Linked DNA regions of Callithrix jacchus. Each later gene encodes a partner of the first gene's protein in a complex. Links are inferred from orthologs where the notes say so. Each region holds a gene or a part of one and is shown in the gene's direction. Other genes may lie near its edges. The genes, in order: PTH1R and PTH.

The links.
Region 2: the proteins of PTH1R (region 1) and PTH are in contact, whole or in part, in a cryo-EM structure (PDB 9JR3), measured with the Homo sapiens proteins. The link is inferred for Callithrix jacchus from reciprocal best matches to the Homo sapiens genes PTH1R and PTH. Residues at the interface, in NP_000307.1 of Homo sapiens: Val31, Met32, Thr33, Lys34, Glu35, Gln37, Ile38, Leu41, Glu111, Trp112, Asp113, His114, Ile115, Ile135, Tyr136, Asp137, Phe138, Arg146, Arg162, Thr163, Ala165, Tyr167, Val171, Leu174, Thr175, Glu177, Glu180, Arg181, Phe184, Leu187; in NP_000306.1 of Homo sapiens: Ser32, Val33, Ser34, Glu35, Ile36, Gln37, Leu38, Met39, His40, Asn41, Leu42, Gly43, Lys44, His45, Leu46, Asn47, Glu50, Arg51, Val52, Glu53, Trp54, Leu55, Arg56, Lys58, Leu59, Asp61, Val62, His63, Asn64, Phe65.

The regions. Positions count from the first base shown.
Region 1 is NC_133516.1:29,547,894-29,552,257, forward strand, and holds the start of PTH1R (parathyroid hormone/parathyroid hormone-related peptide receptor), read left to right. Parts: upstream 1-1,269; 5' UTR 1,270-1,476; intron 1,477-2,487; 5' UTR 2,488-2,535; coding exon 2,536-2,610; intron 2,611-4,364.
Region 2 is NC_133511.1:79,443,008-79,447,601, reverse strand, and holds PTH (parathyroid hormone), read left to right. Parts: upstream 1-1,777; 5' UTR 1,778-1,825; intron 1,826-3,614; 5' UTR 3,615-3,619; coding exon 3,620-3,705; intron 3,706-3,807; coding exon 3,808-4,069; 3' UTR 4,070-4,463; downstream 4,464-4,594. UniProt on the Homo sapiens protein: Parathyroid hormone elevates calcium level by dissolving the salts in bone and preventing their renal excretion. Acts by binding to its receptor, PTH1R, activating G protein-coupled receptor signaling.

The DNA.
Region 1 (4,364 bases):
CTGGAGCCCATGGGCCAGGACGCCCAACCTCGTGGATACTAAACAGGAAAGTTAACATTGCCTTTGAATCAGCTGGCCAAACTCTCCATTTTGCAGATGAGGAAACTAAGATCCAGACAGCTGAAGAGTGGTAGTGTCCGAGACACAAGATTGGTGAGCAGGCAAGCACAGGCTGCTGCTTAGCCCAAACGATATTTCCCAGGTCCTCAAGCATTGGCTTCCTCCCCCATCCTTAAAGCCCTCCACTCCAGGCATCCCCGGCCCCTCCTTCCGCCTCAGTTTCCCCACCTGGTACCGGGAGGGGGTAGGTTTGGGGTCAAAGGGTCCCTCCTCTTAGAGCTCCAGTGTGCCCTCCCCAGCCAAGCACAGAAACCCCGCCTCGTTCAGCCCCAGCCCCCGAGGACTTCTCCCTGCCTTCCCCTAAGTAGAGGGTCCCAGGCAGATCCGAGCCCGCCGAGAGTTTTGGGAATAGGGGTGGAGACGGGAGGGAGGTGAAGCCCTAGAGTGGGTGTCCGGATTGAGCCCCAGGTCTGGCAGCCTAAAGCCGCCGGGGTTGGGGCCGGGCGAGCTGAAGAGGCCCGGCCAGCAGCCGAATGGGTCGAGACTCGGAGACTCAGAAACCCAGACCCGAAGAGCCGCTGAGCAGGGAGGGAGCGGGATGTGTGGCTGCAGACCTTGGCTGGGGTCGGGGCCGGCCTACCGCGGAGCAGAACGGCCGGCCTAGGATGGGACTGAGGCGAGGGTGGGGCTGGACGTGGGGGAGGGCGGCGGCGGCCAAGCCCGGGTCCGGGCTGGCAGCCGAGTGGCCTCCCCAGGGACCCCGACCCAGCCCGAACGAGAGCTCAGCGCACTGACAGCTCCGCGCCGGGGGGCGCGCGGGGTACCCGGCGGCCTCCCTAGGGGATTCGCCCGTGAAGAAAGAAGCCTTGCTTCTCGGCTGAGGGTCCCTATTAGCCAGCGGAGGCCGGATGATCAGAAAAAAAGAAGAAAAGCCCGTGCTTTCCAGAAGAGAATGTAGCGGCGGCGTCCCGGTTCCCTGCTGGGGTCTTGCTGTCACCGCTGCCCCCGCCCCGTCCCCAGCACTCACATCCCGCCGCCATACGACCCCGGGCCTCGGCCTCTAGCGCAATGTCCCGGGGCAGGGGGCGGCAGGCTCCTCTTGGCCTCTCCACACTCCCGCGTCGGCGGCGGCGGAGGGGGTGAGGGCGGGAGAGGCCCGGGAGGGCTCGGGGGAGGGAAGAGGCGCCCGGCCGGGGGGAGGGGAGAGGCAGACGCCGAGGCGAGGGACGCGCGCGGCGGGCGGTGGCTCCGAGCGGCGGCCGGGCGGGGGGCGCTGGAGGCCAGGCCGGCCGGGGTGGGGATCCTGAGAGCTCCATGAAGTCCCCCCGGGGCCGCAGACGGGGCGCTGGCTTGGGGAGGCTGTCGGGGGGGCCCCGACATCCATGGCAAGGCGGGGGCCGCGGCGGCGCGCTCAGAGTAAGTCGGGGCTGGGGACCCGCGCCGAGGGGAAGTGGCGGGAGTCGGGGAGGAGCGACTCCGGGCCTGACCGGGGCAGCCAGGCTGCTCTGTCTCGGTGTCAGTCGGCGGCGCCTCCTCGGAACCCAGGGGAGCCGCCAGCCCCGCGCCGCTCGGCTCGGTGGCTTTTTTGAAAACTTGCAAATGTTTTCGTAGAGAGAGAAGTGGGAGGGAGGGAGAGAGGGAGTGACCGAAACGGAGCTTGGGGCCGCTGGAAGAACTGAGGCCAAGGCCGGGGGAGCTAGAGACGGACTGACAGACAGGCAGACCGACAGAGCGTCGGGGCCGATGGCGCGCCCGAGCCGCACGGGCGCAAGCGGGGCTCGGGCCGAGGATGGGGAAGGCGTGCGGGAGGCGGCTGCCGAGGGGCTGGGTCTCGGGAGGCCGAGCGGCCGGGGGCTGGCGGCCGGAACACCCAAGGGTTCAGTGTGGCTGCAAAGTTGGGATCGCGTTCCCTAGCTGCACGCCCCGCGCGGCTCAGAACGCGCCCCCTGCCCGGTCCGGACTTGCTACGGGCGAAAGCCGCAGAGCTAAAAATAACAGTCCTTTGCGCCCCCAGCAGACCGCGACCCCGACCCCTCCCCCCACTGGGCGTGGGGCGAAGCCACAGCTCCCACTTCCCCAAAAGAAAAAAAAAAAAGAAAGAAAGAAAAGGCGGCGCGGGAGGGGGGCGGGGGGCGGGCCGGGGGCGGGGGGCCCGGCCATATGGATGTGATTTCTCCGCTCGGAGGCAGACGGGCCGCTCCGCAGCGATCGGCGCCCGCCCGCCGCCCGCCGGGCCTCTGGCTCTCCCTCCCTTCCTCCGGTCCCTCCCTCCCTCCTTTGCGCTGCTCGCTCGCTCGATCGCCCTCAGCGCATGGGCCCCGCGCCGGGCCCCGGGGCCTCGGGCCGCCCGGACGCCGGGGTCCCCTAGGCCGGGGCGTGGGCGGGGCGGCCGGCCTGACGCAGCTCTGCACCCCCTACCACCACCAGGGCCGGCGGCGGCGGCTGCCCCGAGGGACGCGGCCCTAGGCGGTGGCGATGGGGGCCGCCCGGATCGCACCCGGCCTGGCGCTCCTGCTCTGCTGCCCGGTGCTCAGCTCCGCGTACGCGCTGGTGAGTCCCCCGCCGCCTACACTCCGGGACGGGATGCGGGCTTACCCTGGGGTCCCCGGGATAGGTCTAGGGCACGCAGTCTTGAGTTCCCCCTGCAGTTCGAACGTTGGGTGAGAGTCCCCTCTGATCCAGGATCCTGGGTGCCTGCTGTCTCTGGGATGTCTGAACTTCGGGTTCCAGCTGCCTGAAGCCTCCCTATTTCTGAAGCCTCGTTTGGAGTCCCAGATCTGGAAATTTGTGGTTGAGGTTTCCCCATCCTCTGCCTCTGTGAGCACCATAGCTGTTTCTCCCTGGAAGATGACAGTGTGACCCAGCAGAAGGCTGGGCTTTGGCCCTGCCAGTACTCCCACAGACTTTGCTTTGAGGACCTCTGTTTTCTGCAAGTTTTGTTGCAATCCCAGACATAGAGAATGTAGGTTTGAGGTCAGAATCATCCAGGCAGGGGGTAGGATTTAGGGTCCCCCTCCAGCCTTCACACACACACACACACACACACTTTCTCATGTCTGGCTTTAGCCAGGGTAGAAGCTGTTTGCCCGAGGAGGTGGGTGTGGTGTGGCATGGAGGAGGGATGGAGGTCCCTGAAGGAGACTGACCTCACAGTGCACCCCTGTAGGAGAAGCACAGCGTACCCCTGTAGGAGAAGCACAGCATACCCTGTCAGGAAGTGAGGAGACCCCTGGGAAGACTCGCTCCCTGAGAGTGGAGACCTAAAGGCAGAATGGTAGGGAAGGGTTGAGGGAGAGGAGAGACAGAGACAAAGCAGCTTGGGGAGGAGAGATCCCAGGAGCTGGAGTGGTGAACAGACCAAGAACAGCAAAGAAAAATAGGAAGAGACAGCTGGAGGCAGAGAGCTGGAGACAGAGCGGGCAGCACCTCCGCTTCCTGGGCCAGGGTCTAGGGGCCACTTTCTGGGAAGGGGGCTGTCCCAGCCCCTCAGTCCTATCCCATAGCAGCCCGTCCCAAGGGACCAGCCCGTTCTTGAGGAAGCTGTCTGCCTGCGTGCCTAACTTCAAAGCCCCTTTTCCCAGCTCCCCAGTCGGGGCAGCTGCCTGCTGGGGAGCTGGATAGGCAGGCTGCCTCCGCCTCCTGACCAGCAGCAGCTCCCTACGCAGCGCAGAGCTCCAGGCGGGAGGCAGGAGCCTAGGATTCCTCGCTTCTGTACGATGCCTGTGTAAGCCTGGGCTGTCCTCCATGCCTCAGTTGCCCCATCTCTAAAAAGAGTACCTGGAAGAAACATCTGCCTGAGAATCACATCATCAGAGGCTCTCCCTTCCTCTGTGGTCCTCAGCACTTCCCACTTACCTGTGCCTACACCCCCACAATTCTGGCCCCGGCAAAGGCTTCCCACCAAAGACAGCCCCATACAAGGCCTTGTGGATGGGGAAACTGAGGTTCAGAGGAGCTCAACACCCTCTGCAGAGACACTCCAAACACTGATGAATGCCAGGGGATAGAACCGCCCTCCACCTCCCTGGGAGTTCGGTTTGTGCACACATATGCATGCATGTGACAGTGTGAGGGGTAGACAGGGTAATGAGTATGGGTGTCCTGAGCGTATGTATGTGTCTGTATGGGTGTCTGTATGTCACAGCGGGGCTCTGTGGGACTCTGGGCATGGTGTTTATCTGTGTCTACGTGATTGTGAGTGTCTGAGTCCCTGTGTGAGTTCATGGGTCTGAAGCTGTGGGTGCGTGACTCGAAGGCACATAGTTGTGTTTGTGTGTGCCTTTGTGAGCCCCTGTGCACCGGGC
Region 2 (4,594 bases), on another chromosome or scaffold:
AGAAAAACCATTTGTATTTACAATTCTTCTTCTCAACAGAGTATTACAGAAAAATGACATTCAAACATCATATGTAGACTTTGCATCAGAAGAGATCTTTAGGAAGATCAAGATAACAGACTTTAACAGTTAAAAGAGACCTCTTGGTTGTCTAGTTCAACTTTCTCCTATGTATGAATCTCTATAGTATATCTGATAAATCTGCATCTACTTTCTATTTGAAGATTTTCAGTGATGAAGAAATCACTATTTGAGAAGGTACTTGATTTCTTATTTTGACAATTATAATGTGCAAATTAAACTCAATGAACCCAGTACTTCCTTCTTAAATGACAGAGAATACTCCTTCTTCCTTATGGTAGCCCTATAAATAATTAAACATAGCTATAAAGTCATCCTCTTTTTTTCCTCAGACTTACCTAGTTTCATTCAACTACTTGTCATGTTATATTTTTCAACATTTTGACCAAACTGATTCGTATCCTTAGTATATGTTCCCATTTGTCTCTACTACTTCTAAAATGGAGCGTGGAGCAACGCTCTAAGTGAGGTTTACCCAGTGTAGACAATTTCCTGGGGCAGGACTAGCATATATCTCTCATTATACACTCCATATAGTTACTATTCAAATGTGTACTGGCTCTTGCCTAAGGTAGAGTCAAACCTGGGCAATGGCTATTAAGAAAAAGGATTACATGGAGCCAGGATGGGACCAGAGCTGAGAGAACTGATCCCACTCTGGAACCAGATCTTTGGTGGGAAGGCAAAGCTGCCTAAATGAGTCTTAGATATATCAAGGACATTCAAGGGGTTTTGATAGGTGGACCAGGCTGTAGCAATATTTGCGGTCAGACAGGTGACAGCATCCTGCCTCCATTAGGTTTTGGAGCAGGTTTTCATCATCCCCTAGGGAAAATGAGAATAAAGACCTAACACCTGGGGGAAAATGTTGCAAAGAGCTTTTGCTGTGATTTCTGTTGACTTTGCAAATTAAAGTCAAGAAGACTGGAGTTAAAAGAAGGGCTATATTTCTAGGCAGAAACTGAGGTAGTAAGAATCTGGTGTCATAAAGATTTCTGTTGAATTCCATCTTTTCCGCTTTCCTGGCCTAAGTTTTCTTATGCAACACTGGGGATAAGAACCTCCTTTAGTATTTTGAGTACTAACTTTAAAGGACTGCTGTGAAGATCTAGTGGGATAATATATGTAGTTAGGCATGCAGTTAGTGCTTATCAAATATTATTATTAGAGATTAAAATGCACAAATAAAATATAAGTTAAATACATTTTAAAATAATTTCAGTTTTGAAGCTTTTAAAGTTATTATGTGCTAACAGTATTTTCTCAAATTGTTTTTAATACTTCCTTTAAGAAAAGGGTTATTTCTGTTTTTTTGAAAGATGACCAGAAGTGATGTGAATTGGCTGAATATGGCTTGTAATATAAGCATAACGTTTATGACTTATTACCGTAAAAATTTTACCAACAGCATAGTTATAACATATGTACTTATTTTTGGATTTTACTTTCAAATATGATAATGAGTTTATCATAAACCTTTGAAATCAGTTTTTTTACAGTATAATTCAGATTCATCAATCCAGGTAGAATTTTTCTAGGTGGTATAATTCTGTATTTGTTGAAAGTCTTTGCATTAGCCCCTTTTCAGGTCAAATGCTGTTTCCCTTTTGGCATCCAGTTACCCGAAACTTGAGAAAAGTGTGCACCGCCCAATGGGTGTGCACATTGGGCTGCTCTGAACCTATAGTTGAGATCCAGTGAATTGGGAGTGACATCATCTGTAACAATAAAAGAGCCTCTCTTGGTAAGCAGAAGACCTATATATAAAAGTCACATCTAAGGGTCTGCAGACCAGTTTATCAGTCTTCTTTAGTTTACTCAATATCACTACTAACATACCTGAAAGATACCTGAAAGAAGATATTGTTCTAAGACACTGTGTGGTAAGTAATCTTAAAAATTCACTTCTGAATCTCAGGAGATTTTTGATAATCAAGTTATTTAATGAGTTCCTTTTCTACAAATACCATGTTGCTTCTTCAAGGTAAAATGCTAAGAGGATTGAGTTATGTTTAATATAAAATGCCACATACAAAATAAATTAATACTTCTAAAATACTCTCAAATCACAAAATAATTTGTGATTAAAGTCTCCTGAGATACCTTGCTTTTTAAAAATTTATCTGAAATTACAGCAAAAAATCATTAAAATTTGTCATGCTATGCTTTAATAAAATAGTATCGGTATCAAAATTTTGAAATGAAACAGGCTGATGGTGAATGAATAGTTCTGATTTAAATAATCACTATAAATGTATTAAGTGGAGTTAATATTCTATTTTTCCTGCAGAGTATTCTTATTTGGATTATTTATTTTATGGCTCATAAAGAGCCCAATCTGTATACTAAAGTTGGATAAGCTCAGTTTGACTAGTGAATATGTATTTCCTTTACATAAATGACAGTTCTATTCTGAAAACTTTATTTCTTTAATTTCATGAAATTGTATTACATGAATTTTAAGGGTGTTCTGCAACAATTCTTCAGCTTTTTTTTCATGATATTCTTATAAGAAGCCCATTTCCCTAAGGAAGCAAAGCAGATATGCCTGAGGTCACTAGGTGAATGTGAAAAAGCTAAGATTAGACTCCAGTGCTCCTGTCCTCTAGCTACAGTGCTTGTTTCTAACATAACCAAAAAATAAAATTTTTATCTGTTGCTCCATCAATAGCTTTATATTGTAAACAAAAATGTAGCAGATTATATTTCCTATGCTACTTCTAAATGATACAAATTCCCTGTAAAACAGGAGTACATAATTACTCTAAGTGCATGTTAAAAGGTAGCATACTGAGCTGAAGGTAAAGCACTTCTATAATAACAGCCTTTGCAAGTACCAAAATGCAGATTAAAACAAGAATATCCTATACTGATGTGAAACAAGGAAAGAGAAAAAAGTTATGTTAAAAGATAATTTAATAAAATAAGTTGAAGAAATAAGATACAAACAAGGATTCCATTTAGAGATGAAGCTCGAAATCCACATCACAAGTAATTAATTAGATGATTTTAAAATAATTTGACACATTATTTTTAACACTAGGAGAAATATGTATTAATTTAGTTGAAAATCTCTAAAACAGCACCTATTAGTTTGGTATTTATGTTTATTATTACAATGCCTGAAACGAAGTTTACTTAAGAAAAGGATTTGCTAAGTAAATAAAGTGTTAACAGTTTACCCCATTAAGAAAATTAGCCATTTTCAAGCAATTATAAGCACTGAGGAATAATCAACATAAAATGCAGTGCAGGAGGGAAGTCTCAAAAATAGCTCTTTCATTCCTCTGGTGGCTTAAGATTTGTATAGTAAAGCTTGCGCAAGAAATCTCCAAAAGATTCTTAGGAACATAACACTAATTTCTAAGTCAAATTATGTGTAAATATATTCTGTATACTAAAGTATCCATAAAATAAAGAGGTTGATTCCAAAAGCTTCTTGTGAAAACCAACCCAATTAGTTACTATTACATTACTATAGTTTGAAATATTAAAAATCTTTTTAAATACCTCCATTTTGCTTTTCTTTTTAGTGAAGATGATACCTGCAAAAGACATGGCTAAAGTAATGATTGTCATGTTGGCAATTTGTTTTCTTACAAAATCGGATGGGAAATCTGTTAAGTAAGTACTGTTTTGCCTGGGAACTGGATTTTAATGTTGGCTTTATCATTTAGAAGTGGGGAGCTAATGGGAAATGGCCCCCTCTGTTTCTCTTCTTCCCAGGAAGAGATCTGTGAGTGAAATACAGCTTATGCACAATCTGGGAAAACATCTGAACTCGATGGAGAGAGTAGAATGGCTACGTAAGAAGCTGCAGGATGTGCACAATTTTGTTGCCCCTGGTACTCCTCTAGTTCCCAGAGATGCTGGTTCCCAAAGGCCCCGAAGAAAGGAAGACAATGTCCTGGTTGAGAGCCATGAAAAAAGTCTTGGAGAGGCAGACAAAGCTGATGTGGATGTATTAACTAAAGCTAAATCCCAATGAAAAGGAAAACAGATATGGTCAGAGTTCTGCTCTAGACAGTGTAGGGCAACAGTACTCCATGCTGCTAGTTTTTCAAAGCTCTATTAAGATTTTCTTGTCTATTAAGATTTCCAAGTGCCAATATTTCTGACACACCAAACTACATGTAATCCATCACTAGCCATGATAGCTGCAATTTAAATTGATTATTTTGATTCTACTTTTATTCATTTAAGAGCTCTTTTAATCTTTTCTATTGTTTATTCTTTTTAAAGTACATTGTTGCATAATTTTTAAAAGAATAAAATTGCACTTTCAAACTTCTCTTCTACCTTAAAATTTAATGATCCTAAAATTTAATTAAAACAAAAAATTAATGATTATAAGTCTAAATAAATGAAGTATTTCTTACTCATTGCAAGTATCTTTTTGGTTATGACTTACACCCCAATGTTTACATTGACCATGAATGGTTAGAACAATACAAAGTATTTTTTTAATCATGTGTTTCACATTTGGATACTTTTAACATCATCCTTTTAGTTT